Linked DNA regions of Medicago truncatula. The protein of the gene in region 1 interacts with the protein of each later gene in a pairwise test. Links are inferred from orthologs where the notes say so. Each region holds a gene or a part of one and is shown on either strand. Other genes may lie near its edges. The genes, in order: cell division cycle 5-like protein and pre-mRNA-splicing factor SPF27 homolog.

Region 1 (10,822 bases):
TTAAAGAATATACTATAGATATATTACCCATATCCATGTAAGCTATAGCACTACGATGCCGCTATTTGACAACACTATTTCATGAGACTACACACCAAATTCTAATCAAGCTGATCCTCCATCCTTAAAACTTAAGCTATTGGATCAGATTAACACAAGACTACGCTTGCACCATACATTACATGAAGTCAACATATTATGTTAACTTTTTCTATCATCCATTATATGCCATGGGAATGCCAAACAAGGTCGAAAGAAACTACAATGTCAAACATCAATCTCAAAAAACAAAATGAACTGAAACCATACTTTCTGTGCATTTCTAAAATTACAAAGAAAATACATGTCACCGGTCACCCACGATAATGAAATGCAATTCCAACAGATCTCCATGATCTCCTACCCTACTGATTAGTTGAGGTCCAAAAATTATCAATTGCAACAGTTTTAAGTTAGGTGTATAGCATTTTATATTACAAAATCAACTTTGAAGAGCATTCAGACAACATTAACACTCTAGAATCTCAGTAAGATTGATGCAAACTAACTGCTCATGAAAGAAAATGAAAGCCGGTAACCAGCTGGCATGACAACTACAAAATGTGCCACCAACAATAATTGAAAAAAACACGGCAAGAAACAAAAATGTAGAAATTTGCATACAAGTTAGCAGTAGCATACCTCATACCCTTGCGTGAATGTTGTAACCTTCTTCTCAAGTCGAATCAACTTCTCCTTCCCGTCATCCAGCTTACTTCTCACATTCTCAAATTCATTCTGCAAAGCTGCTAGCTTCTCTGCATTTCCAGCAACACTTGATAGACCATAAGCGTTACGGGTATCAAAGTACATTAAATCATTAATGCAAGTTGTATGTGCTTCAACAAATTCCTCGAGGGAATCATTTTCATGCCCCATTGCCTCACGAAGATACTGGGCTTCATCTTTTATCAATTGATCAGCCTATTGAGAAAAACAGATAAATAAATAACATTCAACGCAGATATTATCATTCATCAACGTACAAGCTCATCTCCAATTATACCATAGTCATATTTAAGGAGTCAAATAATAATTAACAAGCAGTTTGGAAGTTTATATTACTATCATTTGGTGAATTAACATATGGGTCTTGTTAAAAAGTGCCCCCAGGGCACTCTTTAAGCATTCTAATTCAAGAAATTATCCACTAATAAGGTTAATTGTTTCATTTTCCAATGCATTAAATACAATAATTCTCATAAAAATTTACTATTTAAAGGTCTTAAAGAGTGCCCCAGGGGCACTCGTTAACATTTCCCTTAACATAAATAGGGAATAAATGTTGTAAAAGGTAATTGAAGAATCACTTGTGACAAAAATGAAAGTGGAAGGTGGAACTTGGGGAATCACGACTGAATCAGGAGGGGAATTATCTGAATTCACAAAAGAAGAAATGGAGAACAATTACGAGAAACTAAAACCAACTTCAACCTAATTAATCAAATGATTATAACTGGAAAAAAAAAAAAAAAAAAAACAAGGATGATACAATACATATTACATGCCACCACATTATGCAACTAGTTCAAAAAGGAGATGATACATAAATTAAAAAGATGTCCAAATTTTTTCTATTTAAATTTTACATAAGATTCCAGTGGTTTCGAAGGGGTGAAAAGGGGTTTCAGCATAAAATCGATAATGGCAAGTAATAATTGGACAAAGTACTAATAATTTCAAGGTCAAGATCATCAGAAAAAGCATGTGTATCATCTAAATGAAAAATCACATTGTGTACCAAAGGGTGAAAAGGTGAACAAGCTACTTAGTAGCAAATAAAGAAAAGCAAAGTAAAAGGCATAAAAACAAAATTAAAGGTGAGCAGAAAAATTAGTAAAAACATACAGATTTCATCTCGTCCTCCTGATAATCTTCTATGACAGGGATAGCAGGCCCATTTGCTGCTCGTTTGGATCCTTTCTTTCTCTCCTTATTTGCTATCTCTTCAAGCGGATACTTAGCATTGTCATGCTCAAGTAAGGCTAGAAGCTCCTTTCTTATCATCTCGTCGGCTTGCTCAATAGGGGTTGGTGGAACAAATGAACTTTTGTCTCCGTCAGCTCTTATCAAGGAGTTCCTAATAAGCTCCAGAGATGCTGGAGGAGGCCTAGGAAGTTCCCTTTGAAGGACTTTTGATCGTTTTCTAAGTAATGCCTGCTGCCGCGCCTCTTCTTCTGCCTTTTCTCTAGCCATTCTATCAGACATATCCTCTTCAATCTTCTCCTCGGGCTCTTCAACATCTTCTTGAATTGGTTGCATCACTATCTGGTACTCATTTTTAGGCTGTGGAAGGCTGCTTAAACCAGAGCGCAGACTTTTTTTCATATCAGCTTGTCTCCGTAGCTCGAGCTTAGCACTATCACGCATCTCCATATCTTCATTGATATGTAGCTCATCCCTGAGAGGAGTTCCCTTCGGAGTCATGCCAAAAGAAAAACCATCCCTTGCCGGTGTCATACCACTTCTGGGAGTAAGGCCTGCACTTCCCGGGGTTGCAGAGGGAGTCAGCAGCGGGTTTGGAGTGTGAATTTCCTTTTTCTTAGGAGTGACCCCAGAGAAATCTGAAGGATGCAACTCCGGGTTTTCTCCTCCTAAAAGTGGTGTCTGAGACTCCCTCAGCCTGGCCAAATTTTCAGCTTCCATCATGATAGCATCTCCTTTACTAGCTGGTGTTCTCTGAGGAGTTCTTAAAGGAGTCTTGGCTTGGTTGGGTGTCTGTGGATAATTAGGGAGAAGAGCACGGGTAGCACTGCTACCTTCGGTGAGTTCCTCGCTGCCCACAAGGTCACTGGCATAACCCAACTTGGCAATTTCATCCAATTCTTGATCGGAAATCTGAGGCGGTGGAAGCATCAGTTTTGATCTCTTTCTAACTGTTTCTGGGTCATTCAGCTTGTTGGCATGCAGAATAGCAGCTGGGGCATCTTGCCTCTCTGCAATTTTATTCCTTGCAACGTCTTGCTTTCTCAACTGTGCCTCAACATCAATCCTTCTTTTCCCCTCAAGTTCTTCAATAGTAGTAGGGAATGCAGGCTGCTCCACCTCCCTATCCTCATCAGCAACATCAAAATAACCCGGAGGAGGCCTCTTCTCAAACGGAATTTCTGCATTATAATCAATCCCTCTCCTTTTCCTCCTCCGCTGCCTTATATCAATCCCAGCAGCCTTCAGTTCTCTCTTTTTCTGTAAAGAAGCGAGCCTCCTTGCTTCCTCAAGCTGTTTCTCCCTAGCTTTCCTTTTTGCTTTTTTACCTTTCGTGTTAGCCAACCGAGCACGTGCTTCGGAAAGCATCTCCTTCTCGTCCTCATCCATATCAACAGGATCAGGTCGTGCAGGCTTCGATTCAGGATTCGGATCAATCTCCCCCGGACGCAATTTCCTAGGGTCATCACCAGGTTCATAGTTATCATCCTTAACACAAGCGGTGTCAAGGAGTTTCTCATACCGTTCAAGACACTGCGAAGGAGTACGACCAACAATGGGAGCAATGGTTCTCCACTGAGTAGGCATAAGCTTAGCAAGATGAAGTAGCTTCTCATCCTCTTCTCGAGTCCACTCAGTCTTCTTAATGGAAGGATCTAACCACTCATACCAACGAGCTTTACACTGTTTTGCAGATTTGCGAACAAGTAGGGACGAGATACGAGCCCACTGATTTTTACCATATTTCATAACAGCAGCTTTCAGGATTTCATCCTCGGTGTTTTTCCAAACACCTCCCTTAATCATAATCCTCATTTTGGCAACACTTTATTTGTATTCCTCTCACAAAACAGGTTGAACAGGAAAAACTCCGGTGGAGAAGACTCGTTTACTGCAACAGGAAGAAATATATAAACAGAAATCAATTATAATTGCTGAAAATCACGAAATTGGTAGAAAACACAAATTGAGAGAAGCGAGAAAATGATACCTGCGGTTTGGAGACGGTGGTGAATGCGTCAAAGAGCTGAAAAATTAACAAACATGATCCAATTAAGGGTTGGTTTGGAACAAGAAAAATGAATGGTATATAACTACCGCAACCAATCTGAAATTATCAACAATGACAATATGCAATTCCAAAAATCAAGTTCTGGGTCGGCCAAATTTAGGGTGAGCGGAAGAGAGGGAAGAGAAAACCCTAGAAAATCAATTGTAGTGGCTGAAAATCGCGTAATGTGCAGAAACAGGGAAATCAATGAATTATAAGAGGTTAAAATCGTAAAATACGTAGAAAACACAAATTGAGGGAAGCAAGGGATTGATACCTGCGGTTTGATGACAGCGGCGATAGATCTGAAGACGACGATGCGGCGGTGAATGAGAATGTGAGAGCGCGAGATAGAAAACTAGGGTTCTGATAAGAGAGTAAGGCCCTGTTTGGTTTGGTTTCACGGTGGAGAGTCCTATTTTTGTATTTTCATAAGAGTATTGTTGTTGACATATTTGGTTTAGCTGATAAACACGAGTAAATTACTCAAATACCCTTCGGCACTTAACTGCCGAAATTTAAAAAAACTGGCTGCATTTAATGTCGAGTAAAACTTCGTCAGTTAACTGCGGAGGAATTTCAAACCTGAAATTAAATAAGGAAATACACCTAAATTTTCCTTAATTCAATTTAATTCTTTAAACATTTTAAGGAATTAAACATAATTATTTTTATGATTTCATTCATATGATTTTGTTGTCATAAATGAAGAAATATGAGAGATGAATAATATCTACATTCGGTAATTAATGGACCTAATAAGTGTAAAAATTAAGCATTTGAATATTGTTTTGCAAATTACTTAAATAAAAAAAAAATCTTTGTGCACAATTATTTTAATGTAGAAAATATAACAATATATTATACCTTAAAAAAAATCGTTGTGCACAATTATTTTAACGATTTTTTATTATTATTTTTATTTAAGTAATGTGCAAAACAATATTTAAATGCTTAATTTTTACACTGATTTAAATGTTATTCTTAATAAGATATATACACATAAGTATAATACTGCAATTGTTTTAAACATACCAAAATAATGATTGAAACATTCAAAATCAATAAATATTATTAATGACAATTTATGGTTTTTGTCAAAAAAAAAAAACAGGTTTGAGGTTTCCTCGGCAGTTAACTGCTGAAGTTTTCATTTTTCCTCGGTGGTTTACTGCCGAAGTTTTCCTCGGGAGTTAACTGCAGCCGGTTCCATAATTCGGCAGTTAACTGCCGAGGGGCATTTGGATAAATTACCAGTGTTTCTCAGCCAATGGCGATGTGTCAACAACAATTCTCTTTTCATAATGTAACAAACTATATTATTTTTTTCAACGACGCAAATATTTTTTTTTTAAAGGAAAATAATATTTGTTTTATTAAGTAACACACAAACAATATAATAAATATTATATTCTTTAAAAAAAACAAATATTATATAAAATCTTCTTAAAAATAATATTATATAAAAAATTTATCTTTATGAATGATACCAACAAAATAGCATTCTTGTATACAAATTTGTTTAAAAGTATAATTAAAAATGAAAAGATCATCTGAGATTTTTTTTTTTTGACAAAATAAAAGATATTCATTCATTCATTCAAATTGATAGAGTACATCGATATAATGTAAATTCGCTAAAAACATCAAGGATGAATATGTGAACAGACTCACAACATCCATGTTAATAGCATAAAACGGCAAAGTACAAATGCCTACACATATGACTATATTTAAATCTTCGGAATAACCATGTCTCCAGATCTGCAACATGGATGCCGCCGAAGTCATCGATTGGATCTGCACTGGATCGAAACTGATCTGACAATCTGAACCGATCAAATACCTGAGAGAAACAAGAAAAACAAACAACGTCGCACAAAGACGACGAACAAACCAACGTCGCACGAAGACAACGAAATCACAAAATAAAAAACGAAATAGATGTGAAAATCACTTATTTCAATAAAAGGGAAAGAGAAAAACGAGATAGAGGGGTGATTTTGGGTCAAAAATTGACCATAAATCACCCCTCTTTGGTGGATGAAGGAGAAGAAATTAGGGTTTTCGTGACGGCTCACAGGAGATAAAGAGAAAAGAAGATCATCCAAAGAATTATTCTTCTTCTTTATATTAGTATAGAGGAAGCCCCTGATATGGTCCTTAATATTAGGGGTTCACCATGATCCTCTCAAAATTACCTTCAATAGCATGTTTCAATAAAAAATACCTTTTCTTGGTCCCACACAAAAAAACATCATTTTTTAACTGCAACAATTGATATTACTTTTGTGCCCTTCTTTTAACAACAAGAAACCATAAGTGCAAAACCTTTTCTCTTTCTTCATCGTCAGTATTCTCTCTTAATTCTCCATATTTTTCTTCTTCCCATTAACATCACAAAATCCAAGTATGAGAAAGTGATTCACAACAAATGCCTTAAAAACTAATAAATGAACAAAAACAAATTCTCCATTCTTTTTGTTGTCTTGATTTGAAGATGGGTCTGCACATTGTTGTTGTTGTTGATGGCTCCCAGGGTGAAAGGTTTATGAACCTAGAACACCGACATATGGCTCGGTGATGAAGGAATCATGTTTGTGAATCCTCATTATCATGGAATTGTTTCGATTCCTGTCAGGGCCGGCCCATAGCCCGTCGAGGCTGGGCGATGACACCGGGCCTCCAATTTTTTGCGGCCCAAAATATTTTTTTTTATATGTAAGACACGAAAATAATGATTATATATCTATTAAAAGCAAATTTAATCAATTTGTGCAGCTTGCCTTAGTGGCGTGGCTATTTTTTGTTGAGTGTGAGGTCATGTGTTCAAGATCCACCAAAGTGTGATTTTAAATTTATTTTTTTTAAATAACTTATTTATTTTTTTGGGCCCAGTTTTTTTTTTTTTTTGCATCTCTTATAAAATTAAAACCGGGCCTATGAATTTGTTAAGACGGCCCTGATTCCTGTAATATTCCACAAAAACAAATAAACAAACATCAAACACTAAACTTTCACAGTTATTAATCAAAGAAAAATAGCAAAACACAAGGTAAAATTAGAAGGGTATAAAATCAATTGAGAACATGGTCAATTCATGTATTTATCAAATAGAAGAAAACCGTGGAGTTATACAATTGATGAAGGTGAAAGAGAGGAGAGAAATTGTTCTACATTTCTGGATTTTTGGTGTTAAATGGAAGGACGCAAAAGTAATATCAATTGCTGTATTTTAAATCAATTTTTTTTCTGTGTGGGACCAAGAAATAATATCTTTTCTTAAAACATGCTATTAAAGGTAATTTTGAGAGGATCATGGGTGAACCCCTAATATTAAGGATCATTCTAGGGGGGCTCCCTAGTATAGATATTGTATTTTTTGATACAATTATTTATTAAAATTTAGCTTTCTTATAAACAAAATCCAAATTATAATAATCATATAAAAACAAAAAATTCACATTTCATCAATATTATAAGATCTTCTAAAAAATCAATATTATAAGATAGTTGCATAAAAACATATAGGATTCCTCTAAAATATGGGAAATTTTATGGTACACCTAAAAATTTGAATGTATTGGTATACCAAGTCCTTAAATTAATAGTTAAATGAGTTATTTTTTGAAGAAAAAAATAATATTCTCTATCACCTATAATTATAATAACTAAATCTTTTTTACCAAAAACATCGACGAAATAAATTTTAATTTTTCTGAATTGTGTGTGTGTTAAAAACAGTTCATGTAAAAAAGCAATAGAACACAAATTTATCCATGTAATTTTGCATTCTTCATATTTTGGTAATTTAGCATCGTAGTCGCACATAAAACAATGATGTGGACATAGAATCTTGCCACATGAATTTTCTTTCTTAACCTGCCAATTTTATTTTTTTGCCTAAAAAAATTGATCAACAAAAATACAAACTTTAGAAGTCAATAGATCATAAAAAAGTCTCTTAAACCTATTAGACCGGCCTACTAAAGTAAATATAAATAATATTTTATTGCTAATATTATTTTTATTATTAAACAAGTTTAACGTTACAAACCGGTTTATTTTTGAACTAGTTTTTAAAATTGATTTTAAAACACTCTCCGGCCCAAAATCCACTTTCCCACTTACTGTATCTCACAAACCAAAGAAGAAAAATAATCAAAGAGGGAGAAAGATAACTGAGCGAAAAGAAGAAAGAGGCCAAAGGAGATAAAGAGAAAGGCTGAAGGAGAGAGAGGTAGAGAGAAAGAAGAGGAAGAAAGAGATAAGGGAAAGAATGGGAACGGGCTGCATTCTCATCTACAAAGAAGAAAACAGAAAATCACCATTGAAAGGTTAGAGTCATCATGGAAATTCCTACATAAAACGAAACCCTCAAGCATGCTTGTCAGAAAAATAACCTTATAAAACGTAAATACCACATTAGTTGAAACATTCATGGATCCAATACTATATCTACAAGTTCCATGGGGTCTAAAACATGTCCAAGAATATAAAACAAATCTAGGGAGTGAAATTTATTTCATCCCAAAAAATGAAGTTTAAGTCATTGCTGGCTACTGTTAAAGTTGATTATATCATTATGATAAGCAGAAGGAGATATTCGAGCATGTTGTCTCTAGATGCCATCATTGAATCTTCGCTCGTTTTGTTGGAGGTACGTCAGAAAACTGATCATCTACCCTCTCATGTTCATTGGTAACTTCAGCTTCATCTGCCATTTGCTTTCTGCTTACATCATGGGAACTTTCTCCGGGTATGTCTTTAGGAATATCAGCGTTACATCCTGATTTATCGCATTCATCTTTTGAAGTTTTTAAATTGTCCACCGGAGAAGAAGGCAGCGTCGTGTCCAACACTGCAGCAGAAGGTGCATTTGAAGGGGAAGGGCCCTTGTTGTCACCAATCTGTTTCTGTTTCTCAAACATCATCTCAAGATGTTTCCCTTGGTTTTCAATTTGAATCTGCAACTTCCTTTGAATCTGTATAACAGTAACAATATCAGGACATGCCAAGACTTGAAGTTCCGGGTGATACTAACAATAATGTACCTCAAGTTGTTCGTGAAGCCGCTTCTGGAGTTCCATCTGCAACCGTAATGCTTCAGTGATTCCCTTACTCCTGTAACCATAATTCAAGGAAAGTTTATGAGCATTATTGTTCATTTCAATGAAGATTTTTTTTTCCCATGGAACAACCATCTACAATGGAATTGTGATTTGTGAACAACAGGTATCATGTCTAAAGCTAAAAGAAGTTAGAGAAATGACTCACGTTTTCAAGTCTAGAGATTTCATTTCCTCAATTGAACTCATCTTTTTCTCAGAAGTTTCTGCAGGTACAGAAGAAGATTTCAATCACCATTCACATTCTTACTCTTATATTTTGACAAAATTTGAAAGGAATTTTGTTAGGCCTACTGTTAGTAAACATTATTAGGCAGTTATTATTTTATTAGCCAGCCATTATTACATTAATATCTAACAGTTATGTATTAGGAAGCAGTTATGTTTCTAGGCAGTTACTAGATAAATAGGGAATCTGAAGGACAATGTCAATAGCAAGAGACCAAGCCCTCGAATTCTTGGAGGGAGAGACCAAGAATCTCGAATTCCTAAGCAGCCTATTGTGTAATCATATTCTATTATCAATAAAATTAAGTTATTTCTATTATATTTATGTGTTTGGTACCGGTTTCTATCAAGTTTCTGTGTGCATCAAATATTCTTCAAATGTAACAAGAATAGGGTGGAAAAAGCATTCTACACTTGCCTTTGAATGAGAGAAAGTAGATAAACTTTTGAAGTTTTAAATAAAGGAATAATTGGATTTTTACTTCTACACTTTTCTTTCTTCTCTACCTTTCCTTTTCACTTTAACAAATAAGAGATTGTTCCAAATTTTAAAATGATCTTTTGTGTTTCATCCATGTCTTCTTTTTATCAATCCCAACATAGGACATGAAGAAGAAGAAGAACACATACAAAAAAGACATTTGAAGTTGAAATAAAACATCTTTCTCAAAACTATAGGGGGATAAAGAAGCCACACATCCACAAAAAAAAATTGGTAGCAAAACCTGCTGTATAAAACAATAAGGATTACAAGTACACTCTTGTATACCTTCTGGTGACTCAGGTTTGTATCTGGCAGTTCTATACTTCTGAAATTAAAAGAACAATTAATTTATAAACAACATTAGATTATAAAAATCGACATACACACCAGTGACGACACCAACAAGCTCAATTTAAGAGGACGGAAAATCCATATATGTACCTGGAGGTGGCTTTTTACATGGTAGATAGTAAGGCCCTCAACATTCATTAGATTCAAGACACCTTTTGGAGTAGCCTCTGCATGTTAACATCATTAGATGATGAGAAGAAACGTTCATGAGAGAAGGTCAAACGAAGGATGAAATTAGGAAGAAGTAAACATACTCTCGCTACCACCAAGCTGGTTGACTGCTTCCACAAAAGCTTCGTGAAGTTCTGGACTCCAACGCATTCTAGGCTTAGTTTGAGATGCAGTTGATGCTGATGCTGAAGCTGAAGCAGGATTACAAAGATTGTTGACTTCTCCAGATGATGTATGCTGCTTCTGAGAAACATGCATCGCCTGCATCAGAAAAGTAGGATATACTGTTAACAGCCACATACAACATATAGGGGAACAGAGAATGAACTATATACACAAACTCACATACACATGGTGACAAATTCAATTAATAATAGAACTGATCATCCAAATGTGCGACGCAGAAAGTTAATAGAAGTGAAAACCTAGGTGAGAAGAACTGTA
Region 2 (10,863 bases), on another chromosome or scaffold:
ATTTTATTTTATTATAATAAAAAAAAACTACCCACTATCTTCTTAAACTAACCATGTTTACCATGTATGGCTTTTTAAATTTTCTTGTCCACTATTTTTTTTTTTTTTTACTTTGCTCATAATTCATATAATATATAATTTTATATAAAATTTATAATAAATAGTGAAGCACGTTTAGTTAAATAAAATTCATAAAAATAAAATAAAAATTGTTAAATAAAAAAATTCGATTGAATTCATAAATACATTTATTATTTTGGAGATGAAAATAATTTGAAATATATTTAAATATTTAAAAATAAATGCGTTAAGTGATAAAAATTATATATATGATATTAAAACAAATTAATCAAGCATGTCCTTTTATGTCATTTTATATTTATAGTCACTTCAACAACTAATTTTACCAAACACTTTTAATTTTAATCAGCTAACTTTTCAGCTATAAGTTATCAACCATCGGCTATAAGCTAGCTTTTCAGCTATCAGCTAGCTTATAGCTTTTTTTTACCAAACACACCCTAAGTGTACAAATTGGTTCATCTCCTATTGAAACAACAGTAAAAAACTAAAAAAAAATTGACTTTCTTATTCTATTGAAACAGCAGTGAAAAAAAAATTGAGAGAACGAGAACCCTGCTCAATATTATTTATTTATTTTTTTGGAAAACTTCACTCATCCAAATTACCAATTCAGACGCATTTTTCATCTCATCTTGCACGTCTCGTACGAATTTTTTTAGTATCGTATACAAAATTGCAAGGTAGAGAACCTTGTTATAGATTCTTGGTCTTTTAAGAAAATATATGTTTACTCAAATGTTCCTTTTAAAATCTTCGCTACAAATAGACATTTATATAGGCTAATATGCCATGCTAAACTTAAAATAAAGCTTTCGAGTTTTGACTTTTGACAGCTATCCGTCTAAATCTTTTTTATACTGGGTTTTTGTTCTTTAAGCAAAGTTCGGCAAGGTAGGATCATCTCTATTTTATACTTTACCTACTTCTTCTATATGGAGAGATAAATAAACAATTAAATTTTAAAAAAAATGTAAATAATTAATAAGGGTGTGTAACAAAAAAAAAACTGTAACAGTTGCAAGAGTAAAAGATAATTTGTTGTTTGTTTTAGTAACTAAGTTGCAAGAGTAAAAGTTGAGAGTAATAAAACGTAAAATTTGTTAGGATTAGAGTTCTTTAATCAAGCGTCGCACGTAACCTAATGACCATACATGGATTCTAGTTTTTCTTTGATATTATCATGTAACCCTCGATAACACCATTCGTGTCCGAACAATATTGTGAGATCAATTGTACCATTCAATAGTCGATGTTTCAAACTATTGAATGATTCAAGAGTCGGTCTTATCATTTAATCGATGATTTCTCAATCTATTGAATGATAAGAAAGCTTTAAGTTTGGATACAAAAGGTGATTATCAAAACATCAATTCAATGTCTAGAACTTATGTTTTGATAGATGATTATTCTAAACCTAGATTCAAAAGTATTTCTCAATCACAATTAAATCAAACATAAGCATTAAAGTGCAAGAATAACATCAATATCAAATCAAATGCTAGAACCATATATTTATAGATCAAAAGATTACATGTTTAGCTAAGATCAAGTACCTCTAATCCCAACAAAGGAGATTTAGCTACTCCTTGTCATTGAAGCCTTGCAAAAATGAATTGAAAGAGAATGATTCATTACAAACTTGTGATCTCTCAACAAATGAGGAAGAATCCACTTTCTATCACTCTCACTCTATGAAGAACAATCCCTATCTCTCTCTCTAAAAGTATTACAAGTTAAAAACTATGAGAAAAACTAAGATCCCCAATGAAATGATTAAAAGGGCTATTTATAGAATTCTTAATCTACATCAACTCGCCTCGCGAGTAACTCCATTCGCCATGGCGAGTTGATGTTTCTTCACCATTAAGTTTGAGCCACGTCACCCTTGAGAAGTTTAGGCCGCCCTAACTCGCCTCGCGAGTAAATTCACTCGCCATGGCGAACCTACTCGCCATTGCGAGTTGGTGGCGACTGAATAGGTTCTGCTCGCTTTTGCTGCTCACCATGGCGAGTTGGAGGCGAGTGACTTCATTTTTCTGCCTATTTGTACTTTTCTCCATTTTTTCTCTTTGTTTGATGTATTGAGTTCAAATCCTGCACAAATGGGTGAAGTAAGATAAATAAAGCGTAAAAGGGTAATAATCACTTATCTCTCGGCTTTTCCCTCAATAACTTGCAAAACAAGTAATAAAAGTGCTTTGAATATTCATTTAAAATACAACTTTCTAGCACTTATCAATAGTCTAGTAGATAGATATTCATCTTTTTAGAGTGAATAAAGGAGGTGTCTAAAATTCAAAGATAAGCTATACGAAACTTTCTTTACAAAATTTTGTTAAAAGAAATTTTAGCCAATTTTTTTATATTCTAACCTTTTATTTGCTCATACCTCATCAATCACTAATTTTAGAGTATTTTTATTATTTAATTTTTGATATTTTTATTTGTCAGTGTTTAATTTAGAGTCAATTAGAATAAATTGTTGCCTTCTTTATAGTTGCATATTCTGAACTCTTTAGGAACCAAGGTAATATAATGACGAAACATATGAATTTTTGAGTTTTCGGATTCATATTATATAATCTTAATATGGGTAAATTTGAAAACTTTGAGTGCGCATGAGAGGTTTGAGACCTTCGGATCAGGTCCCATCCAGAACAATTTGTGCATGTGTTTGGTTCCATTGTGGTGTTTTGAAAGAGAGTTGGGCATATCATAATTTATGTTCGGATATGTCAACTGAAAATATGATTTTGAGTACCGTAATTACCAAAATGAATTTAAATGTTTATTTCTTTTGAAATATATAAGGAGAACGTATTTTACTTTCTATGAAGTAAATGGGTTGTTTTTGAAAAAGTTTTTTATAGATTACCTTTGAAGAATAATGGATAATTTACCCACCAACCAATGAAAATGAGCAATTTGTTGGTGGGGTCAAGATAGTTCATGGATACCACTTAAAAATGTGCTTATGTGGCTAATGTGTATTGATTATAATAAATTACCCATCATTCTTCCATGGGTACCCTAATTCTCACCTTTTGAAAAATTACATAAACGGGTGGGTTTCGGGTTTTTTGGTACGTTGTCTCTAACTAACCTAGAGACCGAGGATAGAGAAAGGGTTTGAGAGAATTGTTGTTCCCACATTTGGTTTGGCTGTGCCACACGAGTAAATTACTCAAATGCCCTTCGGTAGTAAACTGCCGAAGTTTTTAGGAAACCGGCGGCAGTTAACTGCCGAGGAAAACCTCGGTAATTAACTGCCGAGGAAAATGTTATAAGAACAGAACTGCATAGGAGTTTCCAAAACTCCATTGTTGTGTTTTGAATTATCCAAGGTGCGATTTTGAGTCATTTGAAGCCATTACAAGCCAATTTCAATCACAAAAACAAGTAAGTTTTTTGAATCCTATTGCATTGTTGCTTTGTGGTCGAATTGTATGTTATTTTTTGTTAAATTTCGATTATATAGGTTTGATTATATTGATTTGTTGATTTTATGATATGTTAGGATAGTTTAGGTTAGAATGGTTAGAATTGTTAGGATAGTTTAGGTTAGTATAAGTTGAATTGATCGCCATTTTTTTTTTAATGTAGATATGTCTCAGAATCAGAATCAGGGTAACGTTCACGGTGATGAGAAGAAAAAAGAAAAATCACCTATGACGTGGCATGAAATTGTTTGCGATGGTTCCGAAAAAAAGAAGGGTTCGAAGGTGCCAGTGTACAATCACTCGAGGTTGGGGAGGAGCGGAAGGACATGCTATTTCGGTCCTCAACCAAAACAAGGTACCGCATGGACTGTAGCGGACAAGCCGATTGATTTGTGTGACGAGGAAGAATGAATGTAATGACTTTTAATGCCTAATTGTTTTGGATTTTTTTATGTTTTATTTTTGTGTCGCGCACATTTTGTTTGACATTATGGTATTTAGAATAAAATTGCATTTGGAATAAATAAATTTGAAAACAAAATAAGATATAAAAGTGTATATAATAATTAAACAAACACACATTTAAAGAAAATAATTAAACATAAAAAATAGAATTAAAAAAAAACACATATAAAAGTGGATATAATAATTAAACAAACACACATTTAAATTAAAGAAAATATTTTAACATAAAGAAAAAACAATTAAAAAAAATACACTTACATTATTTGAATTATACCAGAGTGGCAACGCCACATGACCGACATAAGTGTGGAGCAAGGACAAGTCAGCCGGTCCACCAGGAAAGGGAGGGTCCACAGGTAACACCTCCGGTGCAGCAGCTGCTGCAATGTCATCCTCGTCTCCTGCATCCTGCTGCTGTGGTATATGATCCTGGTCATATCCACCATCAGTCACATCATGCTGTACCTGATCCTGATAGTTCAGGTACTCCACACCAGTCTGGTCAACAGGCTGTGACGGGTCAACAACTTGTGACTCCTCAGGCTGTGTAGCCTTTTGGGATGTGGCCGCTCTGCCTCTCCCTCCGGTGACTCTGAGTCATCGCACGCCTACCACCAATCATCTTAGATGGATCAATGGGGTCCTGATCAGCCATATCTACAAAAAAAAAAAAATTAACATCATTTCTATAACCTAATCAAACACATTAAACCTAAACTAAACTAAACATAAACAAAATTAAACTCATTAAAAGTACAACAATGAACATCATTTCCATAACCTAAAATCATTTAATATAATCATCATTACAATAAAATTTATGTCTATCATTTTCATAATAACCTAAACATCATTCAATAATTAACATACACTTAATCATTTCTATACAACTAAATCATTTGTGTCCATCATAATTCTCCTAACCTAAACTAACTAAAAAATCAAAATACACTTAACCAAACTATAATTAACATCATTTCTATCATTTCCATAACTAAACTAACTAAATAATCAATAAAATTGTCATTGAGACATTTTATCAAACACTTTGTGTGCAAAAATTCAAATTGTGTTCATTTGCCACCATTCAAAGCCACATTAAGATTTAAACAACATAGGCAACAACTACATTCAATTATCAATTTCTAAACTACACATGCAATCATCAAATTGTCAATTTTGAAATCAACCCTAACCACATACAAACTACTCTAATTTTTTTAAAAAAATCAACCTAAACAAATTAACATTAACATTAAAATGATTGACACAACTTACTTGTGATAATGTGCACTTGATTTGCTTGCAATTCGTGAAAATGGATTTGGTGAAGATTGGAGAGAAATTGAGAATTTAGAAGGTTTTTTGGAAATGAAAGGTTCTGGTTCTGGTTCAGTATTCCTCGGCAGTTAACTGCCGCCGGTTTCCTAATTGCTATCAAAGGGCATTTGAGTAATTTACTCGTGTGGCACAACCAATCTAAACCTGGGAACAGCAATTCTCAAAGGGTTTTCGCTTTAAAACTGAATCGTCATTCATCAAATGCCATAAACGAAAGGGTAAAAATCGACGCAACAGTAAACCATGATGGGAGAAGGAAGAAGCAGCAGCAGCAACAGCAACAGCAACGGTGATGTTCTGATGCTTGAAGCTCCACCTTCTTACGGTAGGTCTAGCCATTCCGATGCCGAAATCATCGACGCATTGCCTTACATCGACGACGATTACAGCGACCCAAGGGTTAAGATCGAAGTCGACCGTCTCGTTGAAGAAGAGATGCGCCGCAGCTCCAAAAAACCCGCGGATTTCCTTAAAGATTTTCCACCTCTTCCCTCTTCCAATTTTCATGTAATTAGCCACACTCTTTCTCCGTTAGGGTTTTTGTTTTTTTTTTCTCTTTTAGATTTACGATTCTATTATCTGAAATTGTTGCTTCAGGATTATCCAATGATTGGTAGAGAATACGAGCGTGTAAGAGCTGGTAGGCCTCCTGTTTCTCTTGATAGGTCCAGATATGAATTAGAAGCTCCACCTGTTAATAAAAGGAACGATGAAACTGCTTGGAAACTTGCTATTCAACGAGCTCAACGACTTCTTCAATATCAAACCATCAGGTCTTCAATTTATATGTTTTTAATAAGTATGTTTTGACATTCATATTATCATTAACTTGTTTAACTAACTATTTAAGTTAATATGCAGAATGGAAAATTTGGATTTGTTGTTTAAACATGGCCCTGATGCATGGAAACAGCACAATCAACGATTGGAAGTATACTTGTCAAGGTTTGTTTGTTCATCCAATTATTGTGGCTCATATTTAGAGTAAACTGTTGAATTTTACATTTGTTGCTGTGTGGATTCAGTATGTTTTGTTCACTCTCTGCCTGTACCTGTGCAAATTTTGCTTATTTCATACCTTAGCACATGACATGAACATTCTTACATACCTCAGATTAAGCTTTTTGTTGAATTGGTTCTTGAGAGTCACTTTGGATAGGATAGGAATGTTTCTCAGTAAATGTGGTACTTGAGGTTGACGGCTTTAGATGACAACCTCGGATGTTGTATGCAATGCAATACCCTACTGGTTGGTGGAATGATAACGTTTTTGTTTTTGGATTTTAAGACTTTATTAGCTACAAAAGAAGAAAGAAAATCTCTTGAGGAAATCGTTGACCTCTACGTCCCTCTTAATCGTCTCAACCTTGATTCATTAGATACGTTCTTGACTCTAGCCTCTCCAAGTTCACTAAAGGCACCAGTCTATATTTTTCATTTTCATTTTCATTTCCACACACAACACAGCTGGCAATGATGATAAACATGCCGGTCTTACGGCTACCATTTACTTCTTTGGTAGTAGATTGATTACTTTCATGTTTAGGGTTTTCTGAGCCTGTTTTATTCATCTTTTTCTTATAAGTTTTTAATTTTTCCTTTTTTCAAAACAAGGTTGAATTTCTACATCTATGTCTTCTATCATGGGTCACTCTATTTTTTAATGAATAAGGTCAATGATTTCCTTCTATTTTCCTCCTGAATCAAGGTCAATCATGGTTGAAATTCTTCATATTTTTCTCTTGAAGAAATCAAGGTCAATCAGTGCTCTGTGGTAAATTATTTTGTACCTGCGCATCATTTGCTTACTTCATACATTTGCAAATGAAAATTCTGACATACCTGCATTAGGTTCTGTATGACTAAATTGTACATAGAATACTTCGTTCCTTTCTGTTTTAAATTTCTTCCCTAGTGCAATCGGCTTAAGCTTTTTGTTGAATTGGTTCTTGAGAGTGATTCTGCAGATAGGAATGTTTCATAGTAAATATGGTACTTGAGCATGACAGCCTTGGTTGTTGTATGCAATATCCTGCTGGTGGTGGAATCATAATGTTCTATTTTAATTAATTTTTTGGACTTTAAGACCTTATTAGCTAGAAAAGAAGAAATCTCTTAAGGAAATCATTGACCTCTACGTCCTTCTTAATCGTCCCAACCTTGATTCAATAAATATGTTCTTGACTCTGGCCTCCCCAAGTTCACTAGAGGCACAGGTCCATATTTTTTATTTTCATTTTCAAACGAAATACAAAGTCTGTTCCTTTAACTGGCAATGATGATAAAAGGCCGGTCTTACGGCTGCCATTTACTTATTGGTAGTAGATTGATTACTTTAAGGTTTAGGGTTTTCTGAGCCAGTTTTATTCACTTTTTTATTCTAAGTTTTTAATTTTCCCTTTTCAAAACAAGGTTGAAATTCTACATCCTTGTCTTCAATCGTGGGTCATTCTATTTTTTTATGAATAAGGTCAATGCTTTCCTTCTATTTTTCTCCTGAATCAAGGTCAGTCATGGTTGAAATTCTTCATATTTTTCTCTTGAAGAAATCCAGTGACAAAAATGAGATCAGTGCTCTGCGGTAAATTATTTTGTATCTGTACATCATTTGCTTACTTATACGTTAGCTAAAGAAAATTCTGACATACCTGCATTGGGTTCTGTATGACTGAATTGTACATGGAATACTTCGTTCCTTTTTGTTTTAAATTTCTTCCCTAGAGCAATCGGCTTAAGCTTTTTGTTGAATTGGTTCTTGAGAGTGATTCTGCAGTTAGGAATGTTTCATAGTAAATATGGTACTTGAGCATGACAGCCTTGGTTGTTGTATGCAATATCCTGCTGGTTGGTGGAATGATAATGTTCTAATTTAATTAATTTTTTGGACTTTAAGACCTTATTAGCTAGAACAGAATAAATCTCTTAAGGAAATCATTGACCTCTACGTCCTTCTTAATTGTCCCAACCTTGATTCAATAAATATGTTCTTGACTCTGGCCTCCCCAAGTTCACTAGAGGCACAGGTCCATATTTTTCATTTTCATTTTCAAACGAAATATAAAGTCTGTTCCTTTAACTGGCAATGATGATAAAAGGCCGGTCTTACAGCTGCCATTTACTTATTGGTAGTAGATTGATTAGTTTCAGGTTTAGGGTTTTCTGAGCCAGTTTTATTCACCTTTTTATTCTAAGTTTTTAATTTTCCCTTTTCAAAACAAGGTTGAAATTCTACATCTTTGTCTTCAATCATGGGTCATTCTATTTTTTTATGAATAAGGTCAATGCTTTCCTTCTATTTTTCTCCTGAATCAAGGTCAGTCATGGTTGAAATTCTTCATATTTTTCTCTTGAAGAAATCCAGTGACAAAAATGAGATCAGTGCTCTGCGGTAAATTATTTTGTATCTGTGCATCATTTGCTTACTTATACGTTAGCTAAAGAAAATTCTGACATACCTGCATTGGGTTCTGTATGACTGAATTGTACATGGAATACTTCGTTCCTTTTTGTTTTAAATTTCTTCCCTAGAGCAATTGGCTTAAGCTTTTTGTTGAATTGGTTCTTGGGAGTGATTCTGCAGTTAGGAATGTTTCATAGTAAATATGGTACTTGAGCATGACAGCCTTGGTTGTTGTATGCAATATCCTGCTGGTTGGTGGAATGATAATGTTCTAATTTAATTAATTTTTTGGACTTTAAGACCTTATTAGCTAGAACAGAAGAAATCTCTTAAGGAAATCATTGACCTCCACGTCCTTCTTAATCGTCCCAACCTTGATTCAGTAAATATGTTCTTGACTCTGGCCTCCCCAACTTCACTAGAGGCACTGGTCCATATTTTTCATTTTCATTTTCAAACGAAATACAAAGTCTGTTCCTTTAACTGGCAATGATGATAAAAGGCCGGTCTTACGGCTGCCATTTACGTATTGGTAGTAGATTGATTACTTTAAGGTTTAGGGTTTTCTGAGCCAGTTTTATTCACCTTTTTCTTCTAAGTTTTTAATTTTCCTTTTTCAAAACAAGGTTGAAATTCTACATCTTTGTCTTCAATCATGGGTCATTCTATTTTTTTATGAATAAAGTCAATGATTTCCTTCTATTTTTCTCCTGAATCAAGGTCAGTCCTGGTTGAAATTCTTCATATTTTTCTCTTGAAGAAATCCAGTGACAAATGAGATCAGTGCTCTGCAGTAAATTATTTTGTATCTGTACATCATTTGCTTACTTATACGTTAGCTAAAGAAAATTCTGACATACCTGTGTTTGTTCTGTATGACTGAATTGCACATAGAATACTTTGTTCTTTTCTGTTTTAAATTTCTTCCCTAGAGCAATTGGCTTAAGCCGCGGATAGGAATGTTTCACAGTAAATATGGTACTTGAGCTTGACAGCCTTGGTCGGTTTTGTATGCAACTGCTGGTTGGTGGAATGATAATGTTCTAATTTTTATACTTAATTTTTTTGGATTTTAAGACATTATTAGCTACGGAAGAAGAAATCTCTTGAGGAAATCATTGATTTCTACGTTCTTCTTAATCGTTTCAACCTTGATTCATTAAATGTGTTCTTGACTTTGGCCTCCCCAAGTTCGCTAGAGGCACCAATCCATATTTTTCAGTTTCCTTTTCAAACAAAACACAAAGTATGTTACTTTAACTGGCAATGATGATATAAGTTCGGTCTTACCGCTACCATTTACTTCTTTGGTAGTAGATTGATTACTTTCATGTTTAGGGTTTTCTGAGCCAGTTTTATTCACCTTTTTCTTCTAAGTTTTTATTTTTTCCTTTTTTCAAAAGGTTGAAATTCTACATCATGGGTCATTCTATTTTTTAATGAATAAGGTCAATGATCTCCTCCTATTTTTCTCTTGAATCAAGGTCAATCATGGTTGAAATTCTTCATATTTTTTCTCTTGAAGAAATCTAGTGACAAAAACGAGATCAGTGCTCTGTGGTAAATTATTTTGTACCTGTGCATCATTTGCTTACTTCATATGTTGGCTAAAGAAAATTCTGACATACCTGCGTTTGTTCTGTATGACTGAATTGTACATATAATACTTTGTTCCTTTCTGTTTTAAATTTCTTCGCTAGTGCAATTGACTAAAGCTGCGGATAGGAATGTTTCACAGTAAATATGGTACTTGAGCTTGCAGCTTTGGTTGTTGTTGTATGCAACTGCTGGTTGGTGGAATGATAATGTTCTATTTTTTTTTTTTTTTTTTTTTTGGATTTTAAGATCTTATTAGCTACAAAAGAAGGAAACCCCTTGAGGAAATCACCGACCTCTACGTCCTTCTTAATCGTTTCAACCTTGATTCATTGAATATGTTCTTGACTATGGCCTCTCCAAGTTCACTAGAGGCACTGACCCATATTTTTCATTTTCCTTTTCAAACAAAACACAAAGTATGTTTCTTTAACTGGCAATGATGATAAAAGGCCGGTCTTACGGCTTCCATTTACTTCTATGGTAGTAGATTGATTACTTTCATGTTTAGGGTTTTCTGGGCCAGTTTTATTCACC

Evidence for each region.
Region 2: the proteins of cell division cycle 5-like protein (region 1) and pre-mRNA-splicing factor SPF27 homolog interact in binary tests that used the Arabidopsis thaliana proteins (3 or more experiments, as listed by UniProt). The link is inferred for Medicago truncatula from reciprocal best matches to the Arabidopsis thaliana genes CDC5 and MOS4.

Annotation. Positions count from the first base shown.
Region 1 is NC_053048.1:54,778,043-54,788,864, reverse strand, and holds the start of cell division cycle 5-like protein, read right to left. Parts: upstream 4,442-10,822; 5' UTR 4,293-4,441; intron 3,992-4,292; 5' UTR 3,956-3,991; intron 3,857-3,955; 5' UTR 3,781-3,856; coding exon 1,888-3,780; intron 964-1,887; coding exon 682-963; intron 1-681. Other genes in the region: protein PHR1-LIKE 1, read right to left, coding at 8,647-9,000, 9,070-9,139, 9,293-9,350, 10,142-10,181, 10,298-10,374, 10,462-10,639. UniProt on the Arabidopsis thaliana protein: Component of the MAC complex that probably regulates defense responses through transcriptional control and thereby is essential for plant innate immunity. Possesses a sequence specific DNA sequence 'CTCAGCG' binding activity.
Region 2 is NC_053049.1:49,193,912-49,204,774, reverse strand, and holds the start of pre-mRNA-splicing factor SPF27 homolog, read left to right. Parts: upstream 1-5,497; 5' UTR 5,498-5,573; coding exon 5,574-5,837; intron 5,838-5,927; coding exon 5,928-6,103; intron 6,104-6,191; coding exon 6,192-6,275; intron 6,276-6,798; exon of another isoform or gene 6,799-6,891; intron 6,892-7,600; exon of another isoform or gene 7,601-7,691; intron 7,692-8,407; exon of another isoform or gene 8,408-8,498; intron 8,499-9,214; exon of another isoform or gene 9,215-9,305; intron 9,306-9,991; exon of another isoform or gene 9,992-10,083; intron 10,084-10,760; exon of another isoform or gene 10,761-10,852; intron 10,853-10,863. UniProt on the Arabidopsis thaliana protein: Component of the MAC complex that probably regulates defense responses through transcriptional control and thereby is essential for plant innate immunity. Involved in mRNA splicing.